Sus scrofa: one gene and its partners. The protein of the gene in region 1 interacts with the protein of each later gene in a pairwise test. Links are inferred from orthologs where the notes say so. Each region holds a gene or a part of one and is shown in the gene's direction. Other genes may lie near its edges. The genes, in order: STX4, BET1, CYBRD1, STX6 and VAMP4.

Region 1 (6,089 bases):
GAAGGGAATGAAGGAGCCTGCCTGGGATCACTCCTCAGGGCCCTGGCCCCGGTTCTAGGCCGGAGGGCTGCCCCAAGGCTCACCATGAACTTCTTTCTGTTTTTTTCTTAATTGTTATTTCTCCAATACAACTTTTTTTCCTGCTGTATAGCACGGTGACCTGGTTACACGTACATGTACACATTCTATTTTCTCACATTATCAGGCTCCCTCATAAGTGACTAGACACAGTTCCCAGTGCCACACAGCAGGATCTCATTGCTAATCCATTCCAAAGGCAATAGTCTGAATCTATGCGCCCCAAGCGCCCCATCCACCCCACTTCCTCCCCCTCCCCCTCGGCAACCACAAGTCTGTTCTCCAAGTCCATGATTTTCTTTTCTGTGGAAAGGTTCATTTGTGCCATATATTAGCTTCCAGATATAAGTGATATCCTATGGTATTTGTCTTTCTCTTTCTGACTTACTTCACTCAGCATGAGAGTCTACAGTTCCATCCATGTTGCTGCAAATGGCATTATTTCGTTCTTTTTTATGGCTGAGTAGTATTCCATTGTGTATATATACCGCATCTTCCTAATCCAATCATCTGTCGATGGACATTTGGGTTGTTTCCATGTCTTGGCAATTGTGAATTGTGCTGCAGTGAATATGCGGGTACATGTGTTTTTTCTAAGGAAAGTTTTGTCTGGATATATGCCCAAGAGTGGGATTGTGGGGTCATATGGTAGTTCTATGTATAGATATCTAAGGTATCTCCATACTGTTTTCCATAGTGGTTGTACCAGCTTACATGCCCACCAACAGTGCAGGAGGGTTCCTTTTTCTCCACACCCCCTCCAGCATTTGTTATTTGTGGACTTATTAATGATGGCCATTCTGACTGGTGTGAGATGGTATCTCGTGGTAGGTTTGATTTGCATTTCTCTAATAATCAGGGACATTGAGCATTTTTTCATGTGCTTGTTGGCCATCTGTATATCTTCCTTGGAGAAATGTCTGTTCAGATCTTTTGCCCATTTTTCCATTGGGTTGTTGGCTTTTTTGTGGTTGAGTTGTGTAAGTTGCTTATATATTCTAGAGATTAAGCCCTTGTCAGTTGCATCATTTGAAGCTATTTTCTCCCATTCTGTAAGTTGTCTTTTTGTTTTCTTTTTGGTTTTCTTTGCTGTGCAAAAGCTTGTCGGTTTGATTAGGTCCCATTGGTTTATTTTTGCTTTTATTTCTGTTGCTTTGGGAGAAAATAGCCATAAGGTTGATGTCTGAGAATGTTTTGCCTTTGTTCTCTTCCAGGAGTTTGATGGTGTCTTGTCTTATATTTAAGTCTTTAAGCCATTTTGAGTTTACTTTCATGCATCACCATGAACTTCTGAGCCTATGGCTGGTTTCCCTGTGACCTCTCCCTCCACCCCTGTCCACTCTCCAGATACTGAAGGACACACAGGTGACTCGACAGGCTCTAAATGAGATCTCGGCCCGGCACAGCGAGATCCAGCAGCTCGAGCGCAGTATCCGTGAACTTCATGAGATCTTCACTTTTCTGGCTACGGAGGTGGAGATGCAGGTGGGCGCCCCAGGCAGCCGGCTGGGCTTGATCCTGCCCCCACATGTGAGACCTTGCTCAACCAGAACCCCTGCTGTGACTGTCCGCCCACCTCCACTCTTAGCCTCTCTCTGCGAGGCTTCTGTTCTCCTCCAGACTGGCCTGTACTTCCATCTTAGCTGTGCCTCCAAATTGCGTCCTCCTCAGGAGTTCCCCCTGGGGCTTAGCGATAATGAACCCAGCTAGTATCCATGCGGATGTGGGTTCGATCCCTAGCCTCGCTCCATGGGTCAAGGATCTGGCAATGCTGTGAGCTGTGGTGTAGGTTGCAGATGCGGCTCGGATCCTGCATCGCTTTGGCTGTGGCGTAGGCCGGCAGCTGCAGCTCCAATTCATCCCCTAGCCTGGGAACTTCCATATGCTATGGGTGCAGCCCTAAAAAGAAAAAAAAAAAAAGAAAGAAAGAAAAGAAAAATCGTATCCTCCTCAACAGCTACCCAGATGGCCACTCTTCTGTGCACTGCACCCCAGTCCTCAAACTTGAGCCCACCTCGGGCATGGCCCCAACTTTGGCTCCCCCTCCACTAACAGACTCCACCCTTATACCTCTGAGAGCACCTGAACTGCCCCCCAGAGGACCTGCCTCCCAGAACTTGCACAAGCATGGGGCGGGCGATGGTGTTCTTCTCCCAGCCCTGGTCTATAAGAGAAGGGGTGCTTCCAACCCCGTCCAGAAGGAGCTCTTACCCCGTGAGTGCTGGAGCCATTGCTCTTCCCAGGGAAGAGATTTTGCTCAGCAGGAGCACCAGGACCTGAAGGCTGGCAGTGCCGGGAGGAGACAGGGATCAGGGAGCTTCACAGCAGCTGGGAGTCAGGCCTAGAACAGGTGAATTCAGACTGATTTGTGAGGGGACAGAAGCTTGCCCTCCATGAAAAGATATGAGCCATTAAAGGCACCCAGCTCCCAGCCAGCCCTGCCAGTAGAGGCTATAGGTGGCAAGGGAGCAGGGCAGAAGGGACCACAAGGTAGAAGGGGGCTTGGAAGCCCCCTTTGGAGTGTGAACTTCGGCCAGATGTGGTCCTGCCTCCACTTTTGTTTTTTGTTTTGTCTTTTTAGGGCCGCACCCAGGGCATATGGAAGTTCCCAGGCTAAGGGCTGAATCAGAGGTGCAGCTGCCAGCCTACACCACAGCCACAGCAACACCAGATCTGAGCTGCATCTGTGACCTACACCACAGCTCACGGCAACGCCGGATCCTTAATCCACTGAGCGAGGCCAGGGATCGAACCCGCATCCTCTGGGTACGAATCAGGTTCTTAACCCGCTGAGTCACAATGGGAACTTCTCCATGCCTTTGTTAGTGCCCTGTTTTCAGCCAGGAACGCCCTTCAGTCTTGGGGCTGTGGTGGGCAGACAGAGGAGCTGCTGGGCCTCCACCCCGAGTCCCTCCTACCCGCCTGAACCCTCCCTCCTCTTCTGAGCAGGGGGAGATGATCAACCGAATCGAGAAGAACATTCTGAGCTCAGCAGACTATGTGGAACGTGGGCAGGAACACGTCAAGATGGCCCTGGAGAACCAGAAGAAGGCAAGGAAGGTGAGCGTCCCGCCACCCACTCCCCTGCCCTGGGGGGGGCTCTCTCCCCCCGCCCCCCGAGAGTTTCCCCGACCATCCCCCCTCCTCCTCTCCTACAGAAGAAAGTCTTTATCGCCATCTGTTTGTCCGTCACTCTCCTTATCCTGGTGGTCATCATTAGCGTCTCCATTCTGGTGTGACAGCATCGTGGATTCTCGGTGAGATTCTGTGGGGCCCCCCCAGCCTGCCCCCTCCCTGCCCCCAGCCTCTCCTCCTCCCCTCAGACCCTCTTCTCCCTCCTTCCCTTGCAGGCGCTAAGAGCACCAGGGACCCAGGGGCTGCCTTCCCTCCCCGAAGCCAGGGGTGGGCAGGACAGAGCCTCCAGCCCGACCCCTTCCTCACACTGGCCAGAGGGGCAGACGGTTCTTCCAGGGCCGGCAGCCACTCATCCATGGGGCCTCCCCCCCTTGGGCCACCATGCCTGGGGGCAGGCCTGCCGTGTCCTCTTTGGCTGGGACCCGTGGTTTTGTAAGAAATTAAAAAAAAAAAAAAAAAAGTTTGGAGAATCTCCTTTGCACATGTGTTGCTGAAAAGGCTGGTCCAGGGCCTCCAGGTCTCCACCGCCTTCCACCTCCTGGCCACCCTTGCGGACAGGCCCAGCCCAGGTAGCCTCAGATCAGACTGTCCTGGGTGCTGTGGCCATGCCAGCCTGCCACTGCCCTTCTACTCTCCCATGAGAACAGGTGGGGCCGGGAGGGGGTAACACCCACATCAACCCACTGTCCCTGGGGAAAGACCCCGTGACCACCTAACCCCACAGCAGCGAGGCTGGGCCAGGCCAGGCTGGACACGGGTGAGCTGAGTGTGTGTGTGTGGCATCTGAGGGCGCTGCTGAGGCCAAGAAGAGGCACTGTGACAAATAATTGCCTCTGTTAATTTTTTTTTTTTTTTTTCCATTTCTAGGGCCACTCCCACGGCATATGGAGGTTCCCAGGCTAGGGGTCTAATTGGAGCTGTAGCTGCCAGTCTACACCACACCACAGCAATGCAGGATCCGAGCCGCGTCTGCCACCTACACCACAGCTCACGGCAACACCAGATCCTTAACCCACTGAGTGAGGCCAGGGATCGAACTTGCAACCTCATGGTTCCTAGTTGGATTTGTTATTCACTGAGCCATGTCGGGAACTCCTTTTTTTTTTTTTTTTTTTTTTTTTTTTTTGGTCTTACTTTTTTTTCTTTTCTTTTTAGGGCTGCACCTGAAGCACATGGAAGTTCTCAGGCTAGGGGCTGAATCGGAGCTGCAGCTGCTGGCCTACGCCACAGCCATGGCAATGCCCGATCTTTAACCCACTGAATGAGGCCAGGGATTGAACCACATCCTCGTGGATATACTAGTCAGGTTTGTTACTGCTGAGCTACACTGGGAACATGGTTGTTGGCAGGGAGGGCCTGTCTCGGAGGTGGTGATATTTGAGTGTGGTGCTTAATGAGGAGGGGAAGAATCAGGGAAGAGGTTGCCAGGCAGAGGGTTCAGGAGGCCAGGCCCTGTGCCCAGAAAAAGCATTGCCTTTTAGATAGGAGTTCAGGCTAATGAGCCATCCACCCTGGATCAGCTCACCTTGTTTCCCAGGGGTCTTGTGGCTGAAGAGGATAGAGGAGGCAGGGGAGCCTGACCCCAGGTTTCCATAACTCACCTGAGCTCCGGACTTTAAATTTCGAAGAGTTGCAGGTGCCCTGCCTAGTTCTGGAGCTGGATGTGCTGCCAGTCTTCAGACCCCTGGTTTCAGGAAGCTGGCTTCTGGCTCCTAAGCCTGGTAGTGGTAGGGCGGCGCCTGACCCCGACCAAAGTCTGGGGGCCGGGTTCCAGCCGCCCAGTCCCATCCCACTTTCGATCCCACAGGTTGCCGCTGCTTCTCCTGGCTGCCCAGCGCGCATCGGGCCGCAATATCGCTTGCATCGGGTACACACGTGGGTGCCAGGCTGATGAGAGTCCAGGAAGGGCTGGCCACGTGCTGTCTTTGGTGCAGACTGGGACCCAGCCCCTGCACTCGGGTTGGAGGAGGGGTGAGAGAGAGAGAGAGAGAGAGAGAGAGAGAGAGAGAGAGAGTCGCAGGGGCGCGCTGCCACTAGGCCAGCTCAGCCTCCATTCGCGGCTGGGCGCCCGCCTACAGCGCCTCCCTGTGGACGTGTTGCACCGTTGCATGGTGCCTGCGCGAAGTCCGAGGGTACACTGTACGGGGCGGGGCGTGCCAGAGGGGGTGTTGGTGACCCGGTCGCCACCTGGAAAATGATTGGCCAGTGGACCTAAATGTTGTTCCTGAAGAGCATCAGGATTGGTCCTTAGGGCGTCCTGAAGGAGTGAGCAATTAGAGGACGCTGATATGGGCGGGGCCTCAGAGCCTCTGCACAGACGCACCGGAATGCGATTGGATTGCAGAGCGCCAGGGCCTTGATCAAAACTCCAAGAGGCGGGAGGCGGCCAGCGGTGAGAGCAGGTCACGGGTAGGGAGTCAGGACCTCGCGTGAGAAGGCAGGGCGGGTTCCTGCTCCCTCGCTGCCTGAAAAGTCTGGGAAGGTACCCACGCCTTCGTCCTGCCTGAGATCATTTGTCCTGTGCACAGAGGAAACTAGACGCCTGTAGGAAGGAGCCCCTCATTCTCAGCAACGTGCAAACAATCTGGATGTCCAGCCAATGGTGAAACTGCCAGACCGGATGGATCCTGCGATGATGGAAGATTCAGACACCAGGCCTCTGGGCTTCTCTGATTCTCCATCTCTTCCCCTGAGACCGGCTTCTTCAGTGGAATTCTATCCTGTTGGTCGCCTTGATCCACCCCCTCACCTTTTTGCCTTCAGAATCAAACTACGCAATCCGTGACACCTACTGGGATCTGATAGAGACCGTCAGACCGAGGTGGAAACTATGCCACATCTATGCAGCTGGGTGTCCGTGTGCAGGATGTGCCTTC
Region 2 (6,283 bases), on another chromosome or scaffold:
ACATATAGTATATATAGCACAGAGAACTCTACCCATTATTCTGTGATAATCCATGTGGGGAAAAAATCTGAAAGAATGGATGTGCATGCATGTATAATGGAATCACTTTGTTGTACAGCAGAAATTATTACAACATTATAAATCAACTGTACTTCAGTGAACTTTTTTTTTAAAAAAGGAAAAAGAAAACAACACACACAAAAAACATATGGTACATTTGTTTATTTTCTTTAAACTTCAGCTGTTCTTTGTAGCTAAATCTAAAATGCTGTATGTCTGTAGTAATGTCTCAGAGCATTCCACCTTCCACCCCCAAGCAGCTTGTCTTCTGAGTCTTCTTCTTCTCATCTCAAAAGCTTTATATCTCAGTCTTTCATGTTTCTGCCTTTGTACCTCATGTCAGTCACCAGGTCCTATGCACCTTTCTTTCTACTGTTTCTATTTCATCTTCTCTATTTCTAATAGTATCCCCTGATTTTCTTAGGTGAACTTTGGGAAAGCCTTTTAACTTCTCTGTTCCTAATTTTTTGCATGTTCTGAACTGAACTATACTCTGTCATTCTTTTAGAGTATTTTTAAAATTGCACCCTGTGCTCCCAGAAATCTTCAGTGGCCTCCCATGATGTTGAAGTCCACACTCTGTGGCTTGATCACATAGGTTCTGCAAATATCATCCACACCTTTTCAGACCTTACCGCCCATACTTCCAGAATGTGTGCATGCTTTCTGCCAGACAGATTCGAGACCTCCTTGTGCCCTGTGCAGATTGTCACTCTCCCACTCCCATATCTTTGGTCCTGCTATTCCTTTTCCTTAGGTGTCCTCTCCCTCCTGACATTCACTTAAGTCTTGCCCATCTGAAAGGCTCCTGCTCTAAGCTTTACCTAATCACCACATCAAGGTACCTTTTTCTTTATGAACACAAGACTGTTCATACCATTTCTGTAGGACTTATTGCATAATGATCTGCATTGGAATTACTTGTATGTAAAAGAAATTGACTAGAATATAGAGCTTTCGGAGTTCCCGTTGTGGCGCAGTGGTTAACGAATCTGAATAGGAACCAGGAGGTTGCAGGTTCGATCCCTGCCCTTGCTCAGTGGGTTGACGATCTGGTGTTGCCGTGAGCTATGGTGTAGGTCACAGACGCGGCTTGGATCCCGAGTTGCTGTGGCTCTGGCGTAGGCAGGCAGCTAAAGCTCCGACTGGACCCCTAGCCTGGGAACCTCCATATGCCATGGGAGCGGCCCAAGAAATGGCAAAAAGACAAAAAAAAAGAAAAAAAAAAAGAATATAGAGTTTTCTATTGTAATTAGTTTTATATTCTACATAGCACTTAACATAATTCCTTATAGTCATATTGAGTTAATATGTATTAAAGGAATTGCAAAAAGCTAGTTTTAACAGTGTATATGATTGATTCTGCATTAAAATAAAGATGCTATATACTATAGAGCATTCACTGGAAGATTATGTTGCCAAAACTTAATTGGTATTTCATAGTCTTTGGAAGATAGAATTGTGTTCAGCCTGGAGACTCATATTCTGACATGAGTATTGTTTTCGTGGTCATATTAAATCAAAAGGAGTTAATCTATGAACTAAACAATGTTAATAATTTAGAAAATATACTACTTAGAGGAAATTAAATGATTTTTTAAAAAATTAACATTGATAATTTTGGTTCCTTGTTAGAAGAAAGCTTTTGTTTTCCCTGAAATTTTCTTTCTTTGGCACAAATGACAGCTGAATTAAGTGATTTGGACTGTCTAGCTTTATAGATGCTTCATTTTCCCTGAATTGCTGAATTTGAAGAAAAAGCTCATATTCTGATATATAGAATTCTACAGTGGTTTTGGGTAAATATTACCCCATATGCTTTCCACACAAAATAAGTTGACAATATTTGCAATGGTTTGCCAAAATTTTCAGTAGTTTCCAAGATTTAGTAATAGTATATTTATTCAGATATCTTAGAAGTGAAGCCTTTGATGAATTTGTCATATAAAGTGTTTGGTTTGGTTAGTAGTTGTAGCCACTTATTTCATTTAGATTCAACCTCTGTTCTGCATAGCTTCTGGATATGGATAACACCAGCTTGTAAAATTTTTTTCCAATTTTTTATCATACTTTAAAGAAAATACCTTTAGAATCTAATAATTAATTTAGATATATATTCAAAATATTGTCACATTTCTTTAGGAAAATATTACTTATATCTGGATTTGAATTGATAATATGGGAACTTGTATGCATTTTTAAAATGTAAACAAATAAATATGCAAATAAGTGCTGTTGTATTAATAATATAAAGAGAGCAAGAATGTAAGGATAAGAGAACCAGAGAGAAGTATGTACCAAAATCAAAAGATAGACTTAAACATTAGATGAAATCAAAATGAAGAACAGGGAGACAATGTCCATAGTGGGAAAGGAATAGAAATTCTAAATTTATTTTCCATTAATTTCAGTGGGAAAAATATCAAAAGAAGACAGGTATATTTTATATTTTTAGAATATGATTTTATTTGAGAAAATGTTTATGCTTCAAATGACATCATTGTTTTTACTTCATAATACCTAAAACATTTATATAAGCAAAAATGTATATGCTTTCTTCTTTATAGCTTTCCATTGAAATAGGCCATGAAGTTAAACATCAAAATAAATTATTAGCTGAAATGGTAAGTGATTATGATTTTAACATTAGGAAACTTCATCTGATAGTCTCAATTTTGGTTTGGAATAGATCTAAGATTTGTTTTTGCCATATTTTTACACTTTTCATCTTGCCTAACACATATAAGCAGGAGGAGGAGGTGGAAGCCCATGTATTCTTTAATCCTGTGTTTAGAAACAGAATTAGACTCAGGAAAAATCTCTGTTTTGAGCTTTCTTAAAGATCTCAGTGGATGGAGACTGCCAAGTACTCAAAAGTTCTTTATATCCAACCAACAAAATGACTTTCACTTAATGTAAACCTCTTTCTTTTGCTTGATTTCCTGAGGATCACTTGGAACAAGTCAATAAGATTTGAACATAGTAACATTATCTGGAGTCTAAACAAGCCTTTTATCTGGAGTCTAAACAAGCTCAATAACATATACCATTTCTTGTTAGAGGCGCTTTCCATTCTCTAATGTTATTTTGGATGTCAAACTCCTGTGGACCTTCCCTAGTTTCCTCACATGCTTTTAAAATTTATACTATTTAAAAATGTATGTTGCACTAAAAGCAATCTCCTTGCAAAGGTTGTGCATTAGGATCACTTGAGGAACTTTCTGAAAATATTTATGCGTGGTTCTCACTCTAAATATACTGATTCAGGAGTTCTCATTCTGGGCCAGCAGGAACCTCTCTATGCCACAGATATGGCCCTAAAAAGAATGAATGGATGAATAAACAAACCAACACACTGATTCAGAATTTTAGAGGGAGGTACCTAGTTGTCTATATTTTGAAAAAAGCATCTCAGATGCTTCTGATACATAACCCCAATAAGGAACCATAGATCTAAGGTGCTTGAACTACATAGAACCTGAGCTGTACAAAGGTTGTCATTATGCCAGGATGTTAAGATTTATTTGAAAGGGCAATGTTTCTAATCCATACCTGGTCCTCTTAAGGACTTTTTCAGCTATGTTTTAATGTGGTGGTTTTTCCCCATCCATATTTGCCATCTTTGCCACATTTTACCACCTCTAGAATATTCTGTTACCTGTTAATAGACTCTGCTGACCTTCAACGTCAGCTACCTGAAAAAAGGATCTAAAAGTAAAGGTATGTTTAGCTGCTAACCATGTTTAATTTTGGATGAATTGCTGTACTTGGAAGCAGCTAGCCATTTGACCTTGAAGAGCAATGCCCTACCAATAAGTGGGAAAAAACCCGTGTGGGTAGATGAACTACTTGCTTTTATTGTTAATGCTTTTTCATCCACGTAATTAGAGTAAGATCTAAATACTTTGGAATTTTGAATTACTTTGAAGCTGGAAAAAATATTTACTGGATGATGAAAGAGCTTTTTATTTATTGAGAAAATTACTCTATTTTGCATAATCAGGCTGATTATCTAAGTTATAAACAGGCTCTTGAATTAATTAAACACAGAAAATGTCATTAAAAATGTGTTCTAATAACAATATATTAAATTCCTTACATGTGCATATGTAGAATATCAGAATCTAACTACTATATTTTGTTTTCCTTTTCTCCTCATAGGATTCACAGTTTGATTCTACAACTGGATTTCTAGGTAAAACTATGGGAAAACTGAAGATTTTATCCAGAGGGAGCCAAACAAAGCTGCTGTGTTATATGATGCTGTTTTCCTTGTTTGTCTTTTTTGTCATTTATTGGATTATTAAACTGAGGTGATGCAAGTAAGTGTGAGTTTGGAATTTGTTCCAACTTAGGCTTGGAGTACCACTTTGGTAAAAAATCAGCATCTAAACATTCCTAACTTTCAAATACTGTGGCTTTTTCCATTGAAGATTATTGAATTTTACTTGTTTTGTAAGTCACATTAGATAATACAGTGCTCATTGAATACTGTTTCTTAATGATTCCTTTTTTGCCCCTATTTTCAGGGGTATTAAGCTGGTCTGAGGTCAGTCTGGCCCTAACATTTTTCTTTCCTATTTTTTACTGTCAGATTAAATAGCAGTATAGTATTTTGTCATTACCATAAATGTAGGTTTCTGTTCCATGTAAAGAAACTTAGTGGGAGAATAACAGAATGCCTTGAGAGCCTGACAGCGGGCACTTGAAGTGGTGAGCAAGTGTGTGATGGATGGTAAATGTATTTTCCTGAACTGTCATTGCCCCCAGTGATGTACTCTCCCTCTCTTCTCCTTTATTTGGTTAAAAACTGTAGGGCTTATTTCTTTTTACATACAATTTTAATAATTTTTGATGATAGGACACCTCTTTCTTCTCTGCCCAAGGACCTCATTCTTAAATAAAACTTGTTATTTTGGCATTATTTCTTCTAATAGGGTCCAAAACAGGTGTACCAGTACATTACAGAATAATGTGAAGCTAAAGCAATTGCTGAGCTTAATGTGGAAATAAAATGTTCAAGAAAATTAATTGCCTCTGCTTTATTATGTGCTGCTTAGAATAAATATTGGACATACCCAAGCATTGAATTTAGGGTTAAGAGTATTGTTACTTTAATGCAGTGTGTTTGTTTATCGAAAACAAAATGCAAAAGTGGACTGCTAAGTATAAAGAGATAATAAAATATTAAATGCTCTGTATTGGTATTATTTTGGAATTTGACCATTTATGGGCTCCAAAAATAAAATTTTTAATGAAATATATTAATTGACTTTGTGACTTCTTTGTTCAAGTTTTTCTCTCTCTCTCTCCCTCTCTCTTCATAGACTCTGAGAATTGGTTCTGAAAACTCAGAACAAACTTAGGGAAGCTTAACATATTTGTATTATTTCAGGACTTGCTTCAAACAAATGAGATAAATCATGGCAGTAGTTTCAAAAAATCTCTTTAATTTTACCTATAAATCCATTAACTTTATGCTGAATTTGCTGTCCTTTTTGTTCATCTCTAATTACCTATCAATTTAGGCCTATGTTTTCTGGCTCTATTTGTGGCCATCTGGGCCTCTACATAACAGAAAAGATACCAGAGGTGAAGGGGTTAAGTGACAGCATGTGAGAGACAAATCCGAGGTGTGAGGTAAGGGACACTGGATTGAGTTACGTGACCTGGGTTCAAATCTCCATTCCTTCACTTGCTCTGTATTTTGGAGCCTGTTTCTTCATTAAATCATTTATTTCATAGGATTGTTGTGAGAGGAAGATAATGTATTGGAAAGTGCTTGACAGATGATAATCATTTAATAAATGCTAGCTCTCCTGATCATTAACGGACACAACACATCTGAAAAGGGAATTAATTTCAGGGCAAGACAGTAAGTTTGAAGTAATGATGTGACCTCTAAGGAGAAATTTCCCTCAGACAATTAGAGATTGATATGTTTTTCAAGAATTATTTAACTGTGTACTCTCAACTACGTAACATCAGGGCTCAGGGAAACTCAAAAATCATTGTCAATAATTAAAATTGCAAAAAAAAAAAAAAAACGGGGGGGTGGAGTAGAAGGCTAAAAAAATGACTGGAAGGTGGAAACAGAAGAAAGTCAACAGCAGAAATATGTGGGATTAAAGCCTTAGGGAAAAAGCAATGATGGCAAGAGAAGCATGAATTTCAATATTAAGGTTTGGCTATTATATGAAAGTACTTTGTAAAGTATTAAAAC
Region 3 (5,145 bases), on another chromosome or scaffold:
CGTCTGTGACCCACACCACAGCTCATGGCAACACCACAGCTCACAGCAATGCCAGATCCTTAACCCACTGAGTGAGGCCAGGGATCAAACCTGCAACCTCATGGTTCCTAGTCAGATTCGTTAACTGCTGAGCCACAACAGGAACTCCTTCCTTTCCTTTTAAAAATAATTTTCTATTGTTGAAAAAAAAAATGTGTTCATGGTAAAAGTACAATTTAGAGGAGTTAAATTGTCTTGGGGCCCTGTGAGCAAATTTCTGATGTCCCATCTACTTAGATCATTGAGCTCTACAGATTACAAGAGACACACACGATACATCTTGAAAGAATAAGAGAAAACAGTAAGAGAGATTCAAAACAATAGGAATCTTAGGAATAGAAGAGGCAGGAAAATAGGAATATGGAAAAATATATTCCCATGGGTAAGTCACAGAAAAAAATGTAATAACTTATTCATAGAAATATATATTTGTGCTAAATCTTTGGCAGTCACTCACCTGCCAAAGACACATTTTTATACAGAAAGCACAACTTGTACATCAGGATGCTTGCCATTTGATATTAAAAGAATACTAAAGATCACTGAAGGAGAATTAGGAACATTCTGAACCTCCAATGGAACTCTGAACTGTTTCTAATATATTCAGGAGTTGTGGTATTAATGGACAGTAAAACATCCAAATCAGCTTATCCAGTGCATTTTCAGTTGCTTTCCATTCATCCCTGTTGCCTTTAAGCTGATTCTAGGAGTTCCTGCTGTGGCGCAGTGGTTAACGAATCCAACTAGGAACCATGAGGTTTCGGGTTCAATCCCTGGCCTTGCTCAGTGGGTTAAGGATCTGGCATTGCCGTGAGCTGTGTTGTAGGTTAGATCCCGCGTTGCTGTGGCTCTGGCGTAGGCCGGTGGCTACAGCTCCGATTGACCCCTAGCCTGGGAACCTCCATATGCCGTGGGAGCGGCCCTAGAAAAGGCAAAAAGAAAAAAAAAAAAAAAGCTGATTCTAAATATGCTTCAGGGCATCATGCCCCTTCTGCTTTCATTCTTCTCCATCTCCATTAGTCCTTTGATCTCAACCAGGAAAAATGAACAGCGATGCTAGTGTTTCCTCTCATTCTCCTCTCTTCTCATAGTCGTTTTGTTGGGGTGCTAGATCCCAAAGAGATTATCTGAGAAAAAAAAAAAGTTCCTTTAAACTCAGTAACTCATTGGTCACTAAGTCATCTCCATTTTCTTGAGGAGAAGAGAGTACTTAATGTACAGGGATGTGGGGCAACAAAATAAAATTGTGAGCGCATTCACAGACTTTAGTTTATGTAAGAATCTTGTCTTCTCTGCAGAGTTATCCCACTAGAGATTTAATCATCAGGGAAATGGAATTTTCTGCAGAATTCATTTCTTCCTCGTCAAACAAAATTTTCAGGTTTTTTCCACAGAGTTTTCTTATGTTGAACTGAAGAAATATGTCCTATTGTTTTGGGTTTAGTGACTTAAAAATCTTGTCTTCCCTTCCTACTTGGCAGCCTGAAGGAAATGGATAAAAATAAAAAAGTGAGAATGTTTGGAATGTTCACTGTAGCCTTGTTAGTGACAGCAAAAAACTGGAAATGTCCATTGATAGGGAACTGAATAATTTAAGTTAGAGTTTTAACATAAAACATTAGCCATTAAAGAATAAACTATTATAAGCATGTGTTGATATGAAAATATCTCTTAAGATATACTGCTAAGGAAAAAAGCAATATGCAGAACAAATATATATAGTAAAATGCCACTTACACTTCAAAAAACTCCCTCTCTCTTTAAACACACACACACACACACACACACACACACGCACACACACACGCACGCACGCGCTTGTTCATCATAGAAATTTTTCTGGAAGGATACTTGAGGAAGTGATAGTAGGCGTCACTTTTGAGTGGAACTGGAGTGGGGAAACTTCATCTTATGCCATTGTTTTTTTGTTTTTTGTGTGTGTGTGCCAGTTTTACACGAAATTTTTTTCATTTCATACAATTTCTTTATGATAATTTTTAAATTAGTTAAAACTTATAAAGGATAACCTTTGTACTTTTCGGTGTTTAGCTGCTTCTAGGTTTTTTTGTCTTTCTGCTTCCTTGGGCTCCACTTTCTCTCCGAGCACTTCTCATGCCCATACACGTTTATTCTGGACTTCTCATCTTTGGAACAGTGATTGCAACAGTACTTATGGGAGTGACCGAGAAACTGATTTTTGCCCTGTAAGTTTGTTCATAGTTTTCCTAATTGCAGTAGTTATGTGACAGAATGTTAAATACTTGTTCATTGAATGAATATAATATAAATGTAGCAAAATTTTTAAAGGTTGAAAATAAAAAAGGTTAAATATTTATTTTAAAAAATATATTATACAGGTAATTTAGCATTAATAATGCTTGGAAGAAAAACCAGTCGAACAGATTGTACCATTCTTTATTATTAAAGTTATGCATGTTCTTGCAGTCCTTTTGATGTGCATGTTTTTATATTAATTGTAATTATGGCATGCATATGTTTGTGTGTCCTTTTTTCAATTTTAAGTAATACAAGTGTTTTAGATAATAAATTTTTATTTTTTTTTATTTTTTAATTTTTTTTGTCTTTTTGTCTTTTGTTGTTGTTGTTGCTATCTCTTGGGCCGCTTCAGCGGCATATGGAGATTCCCAGGCTAGGGGTTGAATCGGAGCTGTAGCCACCGGCCTACGCCAGAGCCACAGCAACGCGGGATCCAAGCCACGTCTGCAACCTACACCACAGCTCACGGCAACGCCAGATCGTTAACCCACTGAGCAAGGGCAGGGACCGAACCCGCAACCTCATGGTTCCTAGTCGGATTCGTTAACCACTGCGCCACGACGGGAACTCCGATAATAAATTATTTTCATACTTATGATTTTTAATGATTTCATACTAGTCCATTGAGTGAATTATGGCCTCACTTAAATTTCTCCATATTATCAAGCCTTAAAGGGATTTATGTTGAAGCCATACCAGTGTGTATTTTGAGCAGATACATTCAAGACTCTGTGGCGTGTTGTTGTATCACCCTCTATAATTGGACACACTTTCTCCTTTTTTGTAGGCAATCTCCTGCATACAGTACCCTTCCACCAGAAGGTGTTTTCACAAATACCTTCGGCCTTCTGGTTCTGGTGTTTGGGGCTCTCATTTTTTGGATAGTCACCAGACCGCAATGGAAACGTCCTAAGGAACCAAATTCTGTCCTTCTTCACCCAAATGGAGGCGCTCCAGAGGGAGCCGAAGGTACCATGGCAGTGAACTTTGGCAACATGGACAAATCAGATTCAGAGTTAAACAGTGAAGCAGCAGCAAGGAAAAGAAACTTCGCCCTGGATGAGGCTGGACAGAGATCCACCATGTAAATGGGGTGGAGGGGTAACCAGGTAACATGGCTTTTTCAAACAAGCTCTAGAGCTTAGCTTCTCCTATTCAGCTGTTAGATGATTGAGCTCCACAGAGCCAATATTTATTCTAATCATGAAGTAGGATTTCTTGGAAATGTTTGTATTGATTGAGGCCTATGAACTTAACCTGAATTGAAAGGGAGATGATCAGTGTAAATAACAGTGGATATAAATTGGGGTTCTGTTACCTCTTTCTTGTTGAGGACCAAAGCATTTAGCATCGTGCCTTGTGTAGAACGAATGACGAGAATGTTTCTATCAGTTGGTAAATGCGATAAACTGACACCTTCCCCAGGCTCTTGTCACGCAGTCATTCTCTGTTAATTCTGGGAGTCTAGTTCTAAAGTTTCGGAATCAGGTCATGAAGATCTGGGACAGGGTTTATGCTGCACAGATATGACCAGAGCACAGAAAAAAATTTAGGAGAATAACCGGTTCCCTTTTCCCTGTGCCTGCCCTCTGCTCCTTCCCCAGCTCGTTTGACCTTAGATTGGCCCTGGAGACTGAGGTTTTTCTTAGGGCATTTGGGGAAGTAACTGGGCCTATGTAGCTGAACAGGTCACCTCTGATCGGACCTGGACATTTTCCCAAAACTGACTTCACCCAAGGCTTCCTTGGGTTTAGTGTACTTTATGATTCAGATTTCAAACCGAATTAGAATGAGAATATGCCTGCATGCTTAGGCAGTATAAACTGCTCTCCAAACCTCAAAGAGCACTTTTTCCCAAGCTTCTGGTTTTATTTTAAAAAGTACTTATATGGAACATACTATATGCCAGACAATACACTAAACACTTTACAAATCTCAGTTCATTCAATCCTTAGAAAAACCTCATTCGGTAGGTACTATTAAAATCTTCATTTTGCTTATGAGAGATCTGAGACTGGGGAAGGTTAGAAACTTGCCCAAAGGTCAAACAGCTCTTAAATGTTGGAACAAGATTCACAACCTGGCAGTTTGACACCTCGGTCCATGATCCTAACCACTTCACTAGGCTGTTTTTGCTGTTATGCACTAATTTATACCTGCCTTGACCCCCCTCTGGATAAACATCATTTGCTGGAGTGCAATAGAGTTGTTAAAATTTACCTTCTGGCTCTGATTCCAAGGCAGAGTCTCCAAATAGCCACGGCAAAGGGCCAACCCTTACCTGGAATTTCCTCATGGGCACCCTGCCACTGCCAACCAGCCACGGCTTACCTTCATACCCCTTTGATCTTCAAATTGTATCTTGATGAAAAAGAAAGGTTTAGTGGAGTTCCCACTGTGGCACAACTGGATCAGCAGTGTCTCCGCAGTGCCAGGATGCAGGTTCGATCCCAGGCCCAGCACAGTGTGTTAAGGATCTGGCATTGCTGCAGCTGTGGCATAGGCTGCAACTGTGGCTCGGATCTGATCCCTGGCCTGGGAACTCCATATGCCTCAGGGTGACCAAAAAAGAAGGGAAAAAAAAAGAAAGAAAGATTTAGGCAGGAACATCCATAGCTTTCGAAGATTCATCAGTTGTAATTTTAACTCTTCATGGTCTTAGCTGCTGACCAGCTCTGGGTTTGGAGATAGGAGAGAATGACTTCATTGTCTGCCCTTCTCCAGGTGTAAAAGCTAGGGTCCTTCCTGACTTGGGTGGAATTTTAGGGGATATCTTGAGCTTTGGGTTCTCAGCAGTGAATTGAGACTCAGAAATGACAACTTTCATGC
Region 4 (6,733 bases), on another chromosome or scaffold:
CGGAATAGATAATAAGAGGCTATGCCAGGCATTGAGGTGATTCTCACATTAAGATAGTCTCCTTTCTCCAGGAGCTTCCAGTTTAGTGGGGAAAACCAATATACTAGCAGCTAATTTATATCTACCTTCAATCTAACCCTCCTGTGTTATTAGTGATTGGAACTAACAGTTACCCACTTCCAACTCCAGAAACTTTCCTTCCTCCTTCCCCAACTTCCCAATATCCTGAACCATTCATTCACCAGGTGCCCAGATTTTGCCTCTAAGTATTTTTTTTTTAACATATCTACCCCTCCTCTCCATCTTCATTGCAGTGAGCCCATCTCAGGACATCCCCATCCCTTCTCTGGACCATGACCTTCCAGATGACTTTTCAGCCACTGCTGCACCTGTCTCAAATGCCAGCATTATCCCTCAGCTATCGTGATGTATAGCAGCAGCTCCACAGTTCCTAACATCACAATCAAGGGCCCCGATTAACTAGCTCTGCCCATTTTCAGCCTTAGTTCCTGCTGCCACAATCTCATTTCTTCCCCTCCAGCAATGCCCTCTGCCACGGCTGCCCTCCAGGCTGCCACGCTGTCTCCTGGCTGCCCCTAGCCATTGTTTAGAACCCACTCTCCCCCCCAAACACAAATAAACTGGTAGCTTTTTTCTGCGTTTCTATGGCGACCCATGCTCTTTTCTCATTTTGTATAATGGCCTGTCTCTCCCACCAGTCTGAGAATTCCTTGATGGCAAGGACCAAACGTGTTCATCTCTGTGTCCTCTGTACCTAGCGCACAGTAAGAGAACAACACATGCCAGGCACTGTTCTGAGCGTTTTTCAGACATTAATTCATTCAGTCCTCACGCCACTTTATGAGGGAGGTGTTTTGTGGTGTCCATTTCATAGTTGAGGACAGAGACTAAGCAGTTTGCCCAAGGTGCAATAATCAGGAAGTAGCAGAACTGGGATTCAAACCCAAGTAATCTGGTTGCAACTCTGGATCTTAATCACCATTCTCATCTCAATTTCCATGTGTTTGTTGAATGAATGAAAGATGATCCCTTTTCAATTCCTCACCTCAATATGTTCAGAACTGAAACAGTTCTCTTCCAGGAGGGTTCCCCCCCACATCTGACCTCCATCGCTCCTCCAGGGTCTTGGAGAAGCCTGGAGTCTTTGACTTTTACCTCTTTCCTCCCTGATCCCATTCAATCTCTCATCAAGTCTAGTTGTTTTGTTTTGTTTTTCCTTGGAAACATCTATCAGATTCTCTCCTTCCTCTCCATTTACAATCCCTGCTGTCCTGGTCTAGTCCTCATCCCTTCAGGTGAGATGACCACAGCAGCTTCCAGACTGGTTTCCCTAACTTCACTTCCTCACTCTGTGGGAGACTTGGGGTTTCCAGGCTTTTTTTTTTTTTTTTTTCCCCTTTTAGAGCTGCACCTGCAGCACGTGTAATTTCCAGGCTAGTGGTCGAATAGGAGCTGCAGCTGCTGGCTTATGCTGCACTTCAAGGCAACTCTGGATCCTTAATCCACTGAGCGTGGCTAGGGATGGAACCCACATCCTCATGGATACTAGTTGGGTTCTTAACCCCACTGAGTCACAACAGGAACTCCATCTAGCCATTTTTATTTAAACTTCACAACAATCTATGAGCTAAATATTCATATTTTATAGATGAGAGACTGAATAACAGAACCCAGGTTCAAACAGGGTTTGTCTGGCTCTGAGGACTCTTCTATCTTCAAAAAGACTGCTAACTTTAAGCCAGTCACTTAAATTCCAAGTCTCAGATTTCTTATCTGTATAATGGGGATTACAACATTGTGAGAGCACCTGAGATAAACTAAGCTCAGTGCCTGCCACACAGTATGTGCTCAATGATAATCAGCAATTAAAGTTCGCAAAACCCATAGACTATCTAGCGTATGAGTTTGATAAACTGTTCTGACCAAAAGGCTTCCTGGAAGAGCTCTTGAACCACTTAGCTGGTAAGAAGTTGCCAGACCTGGCCCCTTCTTTGTCCTTCAAAAATGCTCTCTTCCAGGAAGCACCATATGCTGTATGAAAAAATTATCTTACTGATCACTTCAAGAACACAGAAAAGACAAAAAACGCAACACACACAAAAACACATCCTAGCCTGGTGGAAAGTGCACAGAATCTGGGGCTCTGCCCTGTCCAGGTTGTGTGAGCACAAGAAATCTTGAAACCTATATGAATTTTTCTAATCTGCAAAATGGGAATAATAATACCTTCCCCTCCAAGGATACTGAGATAACTCACAGCCTTCAGCGTCTTGCTGGGCACTATAAGACCCACAGAAAGGAGTTGTGCAACATTATCAGAGTCAGATAAGGTAGACGAGCTTTATTCTAAGTCGAGGACGAGATGGATTTCTAAATCTATATGTTATCAAAATAAGTATCAAAAGGAGAGGAAAGGTGAAAAGATTGTGCAAAGCTGATACTATCTCCGTATCTAGGAAACCTGACTACCTTTCTTGCCAGGGAACAAGCAGCTCCTCCCCCTGAATCTTGAGAGGTGAGTGTTGAGAAGACCCGCCCTCTCCGCCGCCGCCAGAGCCCCGCCTCCAGGGTCGAGTAACGCAAGGCCCAGGCCCTGCTGATGGGGGGTGGGGGGGGCTCTGGTCACGTGAGCGCGAGTGCGGAAGTGGTGCGGCTGACGGCGTTCGTGATTGGTCGAGGCTGAGGGACCTGGGGGCGGGGCCAAGCGGCCGGACGCGCCGGGAGGAGCCGAGGAGGGGGCCGCGCCGGGGCCGGCGCCAGAGTCACGGCTTCGGTCTGAGGTGCAGACAGAGTACTGGACCCGCGGCGGGCCGGTGCACCCCTGCCTGCGCGCGCAGCCGCTACAGGTCCCGCAGGCCGAGACGCGGGCTGCTGCGCGAGGCGGGTGGGGTGGGCAGAGGGAGATTGGGAGGGCGCGGGCGCCCTGTGCGCAGAGCAGGCGTGAGGCGGCCGGGGGCCGGGACGCCATGTCCATGGAGGACCCCTTCTTTGTGGTGAAAGGGTGAGTGTCGTAGGGGGCTCCACTGGAGGAGGCGGCGGCAGTGCTGCCTGCCCTCACCTCCCCGCTTTTCTCGCTCTAGGGGGAGGGGAGACAAGTAGAGTCTGGCGTGGGGACCGCTTAGCCTTGAGGGCTATGATAAAGCGTCCAGAGACATCCCCTCTTCGTGCTACCTGGACTTTGAAACCGTGCCCCCAGTCAAGCCCCTGGGGAGGGGGGGGGTCTCCTTTGGCTTGTGCGCCGTTCTACAACTTATGGAGGGGTGTCGAGGGGTTCAGCAGCTCCTCAGGTGGGGAGGGAGACAGGCGTCCCAGACCAAAGTGGGGCTGTAGTGGAGCACCGGGCCCTGCTTTGAAGGGGGAAAAACAGCATCTGGGCAGGAAAAGGGAAATGGGCCTCCTGAGCTTTGTAGTTGGCGTGGACGGGGGTGAGCTCCCATTGTCCATTGAGTTCGGAGCGCTGGCCCGCTGACTGGCGAGACCACAACAAGCCCAGAGGCGTCTGAGCACGTTTGCAGGCTGGGAGGCGGGGGCGCGAGGCTCCGGAAGACAACTCTATTCAGTGGGGGAGTTTTTACCGAGTAATGGGAGGGGAGGAAAGCTGCTGTTCAAACTCAGTGGTGATGTTGGAAGGAAAACAAAATGAAATCAGCCAAACCAAACTTTCCTTAGCTTTCTGTTAGCACAGGGATTTTCCCACAGTGCTAAAGGAAATGAGTGCTTTCTTTTTAACTCCCTGATTTCATCCAGGCTATTTGACAGGTTTCCCCCATTTCTTCTTTTTTCTGCCTTTGAGACTAGAGCTGTCCTAACTTATTTTTCCCTAAGAAGTGTCGTGACTCCATCTTTGATTGCTCAATTGTTTGTTTGGAGATAGAAGCTTTAACTGCACTCTGTTATATAGGCTTTGTAGCCATTAAACAAATGCAGAAAAGATTGATTCTGTTGTTATAACTTGTCAGCTTTTGTTTTAAATGTCAAACAAAACAATCTGAGAACTGCAACGTTCTGGAAAAATCAGTGCCAATGACCTTAAAGTGCCTCTGCTTTCAACTAGTTGCTACTAGCTTCCTATTTCTGTAGGGGTAAAAGTTGACCAGTTGCTTGAGTGTTATTTTTTTTTTTTTACGGTTCATTTTACAAAATTTAAATGGTACTTTAAGTTAAATACTTTATTACCCATGATACAGTTAAATATATTTATGTATTTCTAACATTGCCTTTAAAAGTTTTTTTTTAACCTGACTTTAATATAAATGGAAAAACGCTGAGTTTAGATTATTGGTAATATGTGGCTCTCTACCTGGAAAATGTGTGGTTTATTAGGATTGATTTTTAGGGGATAATTTTTAAATGTGAAAACTGTTTTTTCCTTGAGTGAACGTTCTTAATGCTTAGGGTTGCAAAGGTTATCTCTGGCTGTGGAGACTGTAGATAATCAGAATTTTAAAATTTTTAATGGGATTTGTGAAAATGCAAAATTGTTTTGCCATCTTGACTTTTTTTTTCTTGATGGTAGCCAGTGCAGTTCACCAGTGCTTGCTCACTGATTAGATATCACTGCTTTATTGGAACATTGGCCTTGAGTCTTGCTTGACTTTGACATCATTTTAGCTCATGTTCTTAAGATGTCAAAACCTTCTGCTTTGTGGGAGTTCCCGTTGTGGCGCAGTGCAAATGGATCCAGCTAGTATCCATGAGGACATGGGTTCCATCCCTGGCCTCACTCAGTGGGTTAAGGATCTGGCATTGCTATGAGCTGTGGTGTAGGTCACAGATGAGGCTTGGATCTGGCTTTGTTGTGGCTGTGGTATAGGCCGGCACCTGTAGCTACAATTCAGACCCCTGGCCTGGAGGGAACTGCCATATGCCACAGGTGCAGCCCTTAAAAGAAAAAGAAAAAAAACCCTTCTGCTGTGGAAAAGTAAAATTAGCTACATGAGTGCCTCCACAATGTGTGAGGGAATGTATGGAGCCATGTATCTCTGCTTATTGAAAGTTTTGAAAATGCACCCCACGATGTGGAAAAATTAAAGATGCTTGAATTGTGGCCCTTAGCCTAGGAGCTGGTAGTCTAATCTGAAAAAAACTTACCCCCAAATTAAGTAGAAATGACAGGTGGTAAGTGATCAAATGCTGTAGCCTAGGAGCTGGTAGTCTAATCTGAAAAACAACTTACCCCCAAATTAAGTAGAAATGACAGGTGGTAAGTGATCAAATGCTGAAGTGAATGCTACAGAAGATTAGGTGCCCCAGTAGTCCGGAGAAAGGCATCTCATTAGGAATGGCTGTGGTTGGAAAAGCTTTGGAGGTAGTAGTATGTCTTAGGTTTTGAAGATGGGTAGCTCTTAGATAATTCAGCCTGTGTCTCTTCTGGACTATTGGCAAGAAGAGTATCCATTTGGTCCTCTTGCTCCCAATCCCTTTCCTCTTTCATCTATCTTAGTTCTGCTGGCTGGGTGCTCTCCAGTATGCCGGTGTGAGCCACACATGCCGTGTTACATTGCCTAGTAGATGCAGTAAAAAGTAAAAGACAAGTGAAATTAATTTTAATGTCATCTTTAACCAGTATACTCAAAATATTTCAACATGTGATGAATATAAAGACTGTTAATGAAAGATTTTTCCCTTTTTGTACTACGTCTTAAAAATCCGGCGAGTATTTTGTACTTAGAGCACATCTCAATTTGGACACTAAATTTTCATCAGAAACACTTGATCTTTATTTGGAGTTCATTAAACACACAGTTCAAAGTGCGGATTGATGTACCCAGATTGTTCCACGTATACTTTCAGAATTTTTGGTAGCTGAAGTGTATATCAGTTTTTAAAGTTAAATTAAAATGTAAAATTTAGGAGTTCCCATCGTGGCTCAGTGGTTAATGAATCCGACTAGGAACCATGAGGTTGCGGGTTCGATCCCTGCCCTTGCTCGGTGGGTTAAGGATCCGGTGTTGCCGTGAGCTGTGGTGTAGGTTGCAGACGCGGCTTGGATCCTGCGTGGCTGTGGCGTAGGCCGGAGGCTATAGCTCCGATTCGACCCCTCGCCTGGGAACCTCCATATGCCACAGGAGCGGCCCTAGAAAAGGCAAAAAGACCAAAAAAAAAGAAAGAAAATTTAAAATTTAGTTCCTCGGCCACACTAGCCTGCTTCAGCAGCCTCATGTGGCTTCCATATTGGGGGCAGCACAGGTGTAGCTTTTCTAGAACCCATGCAGGAGTTCTCTCCTTAACATCATTTAGTGGCAGTCTGTTGCCTATAGAGGTAAATCTGAACACTTCGGGATGCAGCCTTTCTCCACCCTTGCTCACTCTGCCTGCCTTTAGCATGGAGCTCTGGCACTGCCAGACTCAGTCTAGTGACTATGACCACAGTACTGGGTGTTCTTACTTTGCCTAATTCACCCACTCAGCTTTTTGGATTCACTGTGAGCATCTCACTATCTCCAGGAAGTGCTTCCCTTGGCACCTACAACACATTATTGCACCTCTTCCTCTGGCTGTCTTTCATTATAAGAGTGTGAGGTCTGAGGGTCTGCTTGTTTTTCCCGTATTTCCAGCCCAGCACTTTGAGTATATAGCATCAGTGTTGAATAAATTCTCCTTGGTATTGGTGGTTCGTGGTGGGAACACTACCGGCAGAGGCCTTGAAACAGGCAACGTGTGTTTAGAAATCAAGGAAAGCATATTTGGGAAGGAAGTATATTTGGGAAAG
Region 5 (7,001 bases), on another chromosome or scaffold:
GGTTAGGGCTTCAAAATATGAATGGAGATGGTGGTGGGGAGGACACAATTCAGTCCATAACACCTTCTATGCCAGACTCCCAGTCCTGGTTTGTGTGTGTGTGTGTGTGTGTGGCTCACACGGAAGCAGTCTACCTACTGTTCTGTATCTTGCTTGTCTCACCATTCAACAACAACATATCAAGAGATAGTTTAGGGGAGTTCCTGTCGTGGCGCAGTGGTTAACAAATCCGACTAGGAACCATGAGGTTGCGGGTTCGGTCCCTGCCCTTGCTCAGTGGGTTAACGATCTGGCGTTGCCGTGAGCTGTGGTGTAGGTTGCAGACGTGGCTCGGATCCTGCGTTGCTGTGGCTCTGGCGTAGGCCGGTGGCTATAGCTCTAATTTGACCCCTAGCCTGGGAACCTCCATATGCCGCGGGAGTGGCCCAAAGAAATAGCAAAAAGACCGAAAAAAAAAAAAAAAAAAAAAGAGAGATAGATTATTCCAAGTCAGTCCCAAGAGACTTAGTCTTGAAAGAGTGAAACAAAGGATTTCTGTCTAGGAGGATACCAGGCCCAGTTAAGGATGAAGGTCTACAATTTAAAGAGAATTAGAGGACCAATATGTGAATAATTGGAGCTCAAGAAAGAGAAAATAGGGTAGGAGATAATCAAATAATTCCAGTTATTGAGATGGGAACCCCATTCTGGTTCTAGGTCCAGGGCTATTTATATTCGTTCAGGATAACTGGCATATCTGATTCATACTAACTATAAAATGATACTTTCTAAGCTTTCAGAAATGTTGGGGATAATCAAAGGGGCTTGTTCAGGCAATGGAGTGGTGGGGCTGGCATCACCCTTTCCCAAACCAATCATACCAAAATATCTGGCAGAACTAAAGTACTATGGTTAAAAACAAAAAGAATGGCTTATACATACAAGCTATACAATGACATGTCAGTCCAGCTCAATAACCATATTGCCTTCAGCTGTCCTGTAAGAAGGCTGAGGCTGTAACTGGCTAAAGCTCTAATTGACTGAGTCACCAAAGCAGGGAAGTACCAATAACAAGCAGATATGCAGATACAAAATCAACCGTAGAAGGCAAACGAAAAATAAAAAACTTCTGGGTCATCTATGTATCAGTAGTCTGACCTTCATGTCCAGGCAGAAAAACATAGTAGAAGTAACTTCCCTTCCAGGTGGACAATTTCAGTCCAAGTCAGCCTGGATCTGAGTAGTGGACTCACAGATAGTCTAATACCAGACTTTCAGAAGCTTTGGTTGACAACCTATGGCTCACCGTTTCTCAACATCCCAGGCCAATTGAATTAGAATCTCAGAGAAAGGCATGGGCACTCATTGTTAAAGCTTTCCAGGTGATTCAGTTTGGAGTTCCCCAATGGCTCAGTGGGTTACAGATCCAGCATTGTCACTGCTGAGGCTCAAGTCACTGACCCAGGAACTTTCGCATGCCCCGCCAACCAAAAAAAAAAAATCAACTCTCTACATCATTAACCTGAGAGTCATTACCCTACCTAAGGTATATTTCAATTAGTGTTTGTTTGGCTTAAATTACACTAAATCAAAAAACACTGTATTAAAGGAGCCATATTTAGTAAAAAAAAAAAAAAAAAAAAAAAAAAGTGGAGCAAATTGGTAGAAATAAATTGATAAAACAATCCAGCTGGGGCGTGTGTGGGAGGAATGGGTAAATAAGGGAAAGCAAAGGTAAAACTAGAATTATTTTGTATTACTGAACCCTGGTACTGCAGGCTTAAATATGCTACTAATTTGGGTGGAGAGGAGGTAGGAGGAGTCAAGAGAACAGTGGAAAGGCCCTGCAGGAGTCATCTTCCACCTCAAATCTGAAGGCTCTGGTGTCTACCTGGTGTCTGGACCCGGTTATTTTAGGTTAGGACTCCACAATAACAGATGAAAGAACACCGAATCCTCGACCCAGATCTGTCCAAACTAGTTGTGCAACCTCAAGTCAATCTCTTTGGACCAGAGATTCCTAATGTCTAAAACAAGGAGACTGGACTGGTCACTTAAGATCTCCCTCCAAGTCTAACTCTGATTCTATAAACAAGGGATCACACAGATGTTACTTCAGAAAAGGCTGTAGCCGGTCCTCGGGCTTTGAGCCATCCTCATTTTTCTGCTCCGCTTCCTTAGCCCAGGGGATGGAGCCAGCAACAAAACACCATCTTAGTAACGCCTCATCAACCCCAGTCAGGATCAAGCCCTCAGCGCCCACCCCTGGGTGACTTCTCAGAGCTTTCTCTACCTCTCCTGAACGCCCGACCCCGGCTGGGACCTCAGGAACCCGCGACTGTTCCTCGCTTAAGGCACAAGCCCATCCTGCGGATGCAGATGTAAACTCTGAGACCGCAAAAACCTCTGGATAGAAAGCTGCACGCGGAATCGACTCCCTCGATGATCTCCGTGGCCTGGACCCGCCCCTCCTCCTGGCGCCGGGACGCGGAGCGCCGATCGACTCGATGAGCGGGGGCGCAGCTGCGGCGGAGCGGCTGACGCCGGGTCCGCGCCCACTGTATCCCCCTCCCTGTTTTCTCCCTCCGCTTCCCACTCCTTCCCCCGCCCGCCCAGAGCTGCCCGCCCGGGAGAGCTGCTCAGAGCTACCGGGGAGATTCAGGTACGGCCGCACGCCTTGTCCCGAAGGGAGGGGCTCATGTGCGGAGGAAGGAAACGGAGATGACTTCCCTGCCCCGCCGCCCCCAACGTCCGCGTCAGGCTGGGGGACCAGCCTCGGGGGTAGTGGAGGGAACCCCTAGTGGGAAAAGGGGTTGGACCGGGGGTGCCCTGAGTAAGAATGACAAGGACTGGGGTGTGCAATGGGGGGGAGAGGTTTAAGGGGGAGAAGATTAGGAATTGTAGGGTGCTCTGGGGAGATGGGAAGAGAACAGTGGCGAGGATGGGGAAGATTGCAGAAGAGTGGGAGTCAGCCCGGAGTGTGAGCAGGTATCTTGGGGCAGAAAGGACTAGAGGTAGGAGCAGATGTTGGGGGACGTGGCCTGGTGCGACCGATGGAGTATAGGGGGTGAACAGTGCTGCTTGCTGGAGAGACGGATTTGTTTCATTATTCAAAGGCTTGAGAGAGAGCGCCAACTCCGCTACATTTATAATGACCGGAAGGTGGGGTGAATGTTACACTTTGACAGGTTTTGTGAATAATATCTCCAGGCTTTGGCCAACCAAGTCAGTTATTTCCATGAAGCTGCACGAACCAGGCTGTCGATGAGAGATGAGGAAGAGGAGTCAGAAAGGGAACGAGGCTGAGAAAACGGAAGCCTCTGCCAGATTCAAGCTTTTTGTGAAATGAAGTACTGGGAGTTGTGGTTTGCTTGTTTTTGTAAAGCAAAAAAGAATACAGCATTTATTAAACAACAGGTTAGAAGTTTATTACGTATAAAGCAATTGAATACAGAACGTACTGCCTCTTCAAAAATACATACATGAAATTGTAAACGTAGGATGACATAAAAAGCATATGGTGATGTGACATTTTAAAAATGTGTTGGTGTCTCCAGTCAGTGTTGAGATACATCATGAAGGCGCTCTTTACATTTATACCTAGACACAAACACCTGAATTCATATGTATTTTGTGCAGGAGAAATCTTAGGTAGAAAGAATATGTATAAGTCTAATTTCTGAGCATGGTTTACTTCTACTTGTTTGGTACAAATACCAATTGCTCTGTGGTTCATCAAGCAGTTAGTCTGCCTGTTCTTTTGCTGATGGCTTTTATGTTTGTCAGTGATTTCTTGCCTTCCTGAGGCTGATCCTTGGATTATGGGACCTGATTTTGGGTTTGCTTATCACTAAACTTGTAGCTCTACTGTATATTTCATAAAGATGTTATGTAAGTCTGCCTGTTACTTGCTTTTGAACATGGCAGTAGCCCCTTTGTAGGATTTAAAATATAAATAAAATACAGATATAATTAAAAGAAAAGCTTCAGTAGCTTCCCTTGTCTGTTTCTCCATGCATTCTGTAACATTTCTGCTTGAATGAGTTATTCTGAAATCAAAGTACGAGGAATAAATGGGTCAGATGCCAGATGTACGTGACAGAAATATTGTGGAATGAAGAACTCTAGAGCTATTAACTTAGGTAGCAAGTATTTGGTTTTTGTTACAGGTGATTTAAGTTTCTGGTTTGGAAAATCGTCTCATACCAAAGCAAAGTGTTTATCAGTTTGTTTTGATGGGAAATCAACTTAAAATTTTACTTTATTTAGTTTATGAAACTGGACTCTGGGCATGTTTATTCTTTTTTAAGTGTGTAATATTAACCAACAAACTGATGTCTACTTAAAGATCTTAGGGGTGTTCTTATAGAAAGGAAAAGGGGGCTGCTGGGTTGTTAAAAGAAAGTGGTCTTTCCAGAACAGAACTGTGTGTAACCTGATAACTAATTGGATCATTAAAACCAATCATACACAGCAGTTGGTTAATTTAGTCCTGTGTTTCTGCTGTTTCAATCAACAGAGCGATTAACACTATTAGTTGCTTATCTTTTACTAAGCCTTAGTTTTCTCTTGGTTTCTTAGTGTCTACTTCCCAGGCATGTTGTAAAGAGTAAAAGAAAATATGTGTTAATCACTGAACACAGTGCCTAACACATAGTAAAACATTCAGTACACCTTAGCTTTTCTCATCTATCCATCTTCTAGTCCATCATACTAAAAACTCATATTTTCATATATCAGCTTTTCCTCAAGAAAATTTTGAATATGTTGCATACTCAAGCATTTTCCTGAAAAAAAAAAAATCACAGGGCATGTTAGCATATAAAAGGCTATGAGACTTTGTATAGCAAAACAAACAAAAAAATTGACTTTGTTGGAATTCCCACTGTGGCACAGTGGGTCAAGAACCTGACTGCAGCAGCTTAGGTCACTGTGGAGATGCGGGTTCAGTCCCTGGCCCAGCACAGTGGGTCAAAGGATCCGGCATTGCCGTAGCTGTGGCATACACTGCAGCTGTGGCTCACATTTGATCCCCGGCCGGGGAAATCCCATATGCTGCAGGTGTGGCCATATATAAAAACAAAACAGGGGTTCCCACCGTGACTCAGTGGTTAACGAATCCGACTAGGAACCATGAGATTGCAGGTTAGATCCCTGACCTTGCTCAGTGGGTTAAGGATCCAGCATTGCCATGAGCTGTGCTGTAGGTCACACACGTGGCTTGGATCTAGCATTGCTGTGGCTGTGGTGTAGGTCGGCAGCTGTAGCTCCGATTAGACCCCTAGCCAAGGAACCTCCATATGCCACGGGTGTGGCTCTAGAAAAGGGAAAAAGACAAAAAATAAAATAAATAAAAATAAAAACAAAACAAAACCTGGCTCTGTATAACCAATCCTTTCAAACTTATCCCTTTTCTTTTTTTCTTTTTTCTAGGGCCAAACATGCAGCATATGGAAGTTCCCAGACTAGGAGTTGAACAGGAGCTGCAGTTGCTGGCCTACACCACAGCCACAGTCACACCAGATCTGAGCCCCATCTCCAAGCTATACCGCAGCTTGTGGCAATGCCGGATCCTTAAGCCACTGAGCAAGGCCAGGGATCAAACCCCCATCCTCATGGGTACTAGTCAGGTTCTTAACCCACTGAGCCACAGCAGGAACTCCATTATCCCTTTTCTTGGGGCACCTAGTGTCATGCTTTAGAACAGAACAAAGTTATAATTTACAGAATGTTTTTGCATGTATTTATTAATCTGATTTGGTCATTCTGACTGTGCAGAAGCCTAGAAATCAGTATTTTACAGATGAGAAAATTGAATCATTAAGCAGCTCACTAAAAGAGAATTAGAGTAGTGAGGGGCCCTGTATGCTGTTTTCAGTACTTATATCCTAAAACTTCAAATCTGATGAAAGTTATGTTCTCTTTAAGGTGGTGAAGACTTAATCTGCTGGGAAGTAGAAGAGTACTTCTTCACTTGAAAAATGCCTCCCAAGTTCAAGCGCCACCTAAATGATGATGATGTCACTGGTTCTGTGAAAAGTGAAAGGGTACTTTTTTTAAAAAATTTTTTTATTATAGTTGATTTGAAAGGATAAGTTCAGAGTCAGTCTTTAAAAAAGAAAGATTCAAATATCTTTCCTTTGTAAATAATTTGTTTTAGAAAAAGTTAACATTTATGGTCATATTCTAATCCTATTTGTTTTTGTCATAATAAGCATTAAAAAGTGTATATTACTTAGACTGGGGACCCGACCAAATTCTACTCCGTTATTCACCAAATTACATTCCAGCTTCTTTCTAGTCTTTTCAAGGAAATTTTGTACAAATACACAATATCTTACAAGTCTGGAGCCAAATGTGGAGTTTCCCAGAATTTTTCATATTTTTACAAAGGTAAATGCACGTTGTACAACAGCCGTTTTAGCATCTCCAAACATAATAACATTTCTCAGTGAAATGTCTTATTATTCTAACTAAGTATGTAAGTAAATTAGCCAACATCAATTCAGGTCATATTTTCCTCCAAATAAGTTTTGGCTCCAAACTTAATAAAATTTCTTGGTTTTTAGAACTTTTCAGATTTTGGAACTGTAGATAAAGGATTCTCAAAGTCCAGAGTAGCTTTTAAATAATGTTCAGTTTCTAGTTTATTCCAGAACATTCTATGCAGATTTGTATAAATCTAGAAATTGTGCAGCATTTTGGAAGACAACATTGATATGAATATTTTAGATAGGTTACTTTTAGAATAAGTAATCAATAAGTATTTACCAAGGGAAGGAATTAGAGCTGTTCTTCTTCATTCAGCAACCTAAGCCCTCCCTCACTTCCTATCTTCTTGCCATTCCTTCATTTGCTGATTCATACAACAGACATTTATTGGCCACCAACTACATGCTAGGCATTGTGCTAAAAATTGGAGGGCATGGTCCCTGCCCTTAGAGAGCCGATAGTCTACCTGACTTTTGTTTTAATGCTGCTTTTTTGCACAATCTCAGGACCTCATATACACTCTGTTCAAC

What was found.
Region 2: the proteins of STX4 (region 1) and BET1 interact in binary tests that used the Homo sapiens proteins (3 or more experiments, as listed by UniProt). The two-hybrid records come from large-scale screens. The link is inferred for Sus scrofa from reciprocal best matches to the Homo sapiens genes STX4 and BET1.
Region 3: the proteins of STX4 (region 1) and CYBRD1 interact in binary tests that used the Homo sapiens proteins (3 or more experiments, as listed by UniProt). The two-hybrid records come from large-scale screens. The link is inferred for Sus scrofa from reciprocal best matches to the Homo sapiens genes STX4 and CYBRD1.
Region 4: the proteins of STX4 (region 1) and STX6 interact in binary tests that used the Homo sapiens proteins (3 or more experiments, as listed by UniProt). The two-hybrid records come from large-scale screens. The link is inferred for Sus scrofa from reciprocal best matches to the Homo sapiens genes STX4 and STX6.
Region 5: the proteins of STX4 (region 1) and VAMP4 interact in binary tests that used the Homo sapiens proteins (3 or more experiments, as listed by UniProt). The two-hybrid records come from large-scale screens. The link is inferred for Sus scrofa from reciprocal best matches to the Homo sapiens genes STX4 and VAMP4.

The regions. Positions count from the first base shown.
Region 1 is NC_010445.4:17,419,853-17,425,941, reverse strand, and holds the end of STX4 (syntaxin-4), read left to right. Parts: intron 1-1,425; coding exon 1,426-1,563; intron 1,564-3,027; coding exon 3,028-3,138; intron 3,139-3,236; coding exon 3,237-3,317; 3' UTR 3,318-3,335; intron 3,336-3,428; 3' UTR 3,429-3,676; downstream 3,677-6,089. UniProt on the Homo sapiens protein: Plasma membrane t-SNARE that mediates docking of transport vesicles. Necessary for the translocation of SLC2A4 from intracellular vesicles to the plasma membrane.
Region 2 is NC_010451.4:73,781,198-73,787,480, reverse strand, and holds the end of BET1 (BET1 homolog), read left to right. Parts: intron 1-2,627; coding exon 2,628-2,684; intron 2,685-4,221; coding exon 4,222-4,377; 3' UTR 4,378-5,324; downstream 5,325-6,283. UniProt on the Homo sapiens protein: Required for vesicular transport from the ER to the Golgi complex. Functions as a SNARE involved in the docking process of ER-derived vesicles with the cis-Golgi membrane.
Region 3 is NC_010457.5:77,688,018-77,693,162, forward strand, and holds the end of CYBRD1 (cytochrome b reductase 1), read left to right. Parts: intron 1-2,088; coding exon 2,089-2,243; intron 2,244-3,103; coding exon 3,104-3,404; 3' UTR 3,405-3,499; downstream 3,500-5,145. UniProt on the Homo sapiens protein: Plasma membrane reductase that uses cytoplasmic ascorbate as an electron donor to reduce extracellular Fe(3+) into Fe(2+).
Region 4 is NC_010451.4:122,576,621-122,583,353, reverse strand, and holds the start of STX6 (syntaxin-6), read left to right. Parts: upstream 1-2,780; 5' UTR 2,781-2,987; coding exon 2,988-3,022; intron 3,023-6,733. UniProt on the Homo sapiens protein: SNARE promoting movement of transport vesicles to target membranes. Targets endosomes to the trans-Golgi network, and may therefore function in retrograde trafficking.
Region 5 is NC_010451.4:114,170,453-114,177,453, reverse strand, and holds the start of VAMP4 (vesicle-associated membrane protein 4), read left to right. Parts: upstream 1-2,485; 5' UTR 2,486-2,641; intron 2,642-2,723; exon of another isoform or gene 2,724-2,812; intron 2,813-3,167; exon of another isoform or gene 3,168-3,396; intron 3,397-5,907; 5' UTR 5,908-5,960; coding exon 5,961-6,026; intron 6,027-7,001. UniProt on the Homo sapiens protein: Involved in the pathway that functions to remove an inhibitor (probably synaptotagmin-4) of calcium-triggered exocytosis during the maturation of secretory granules.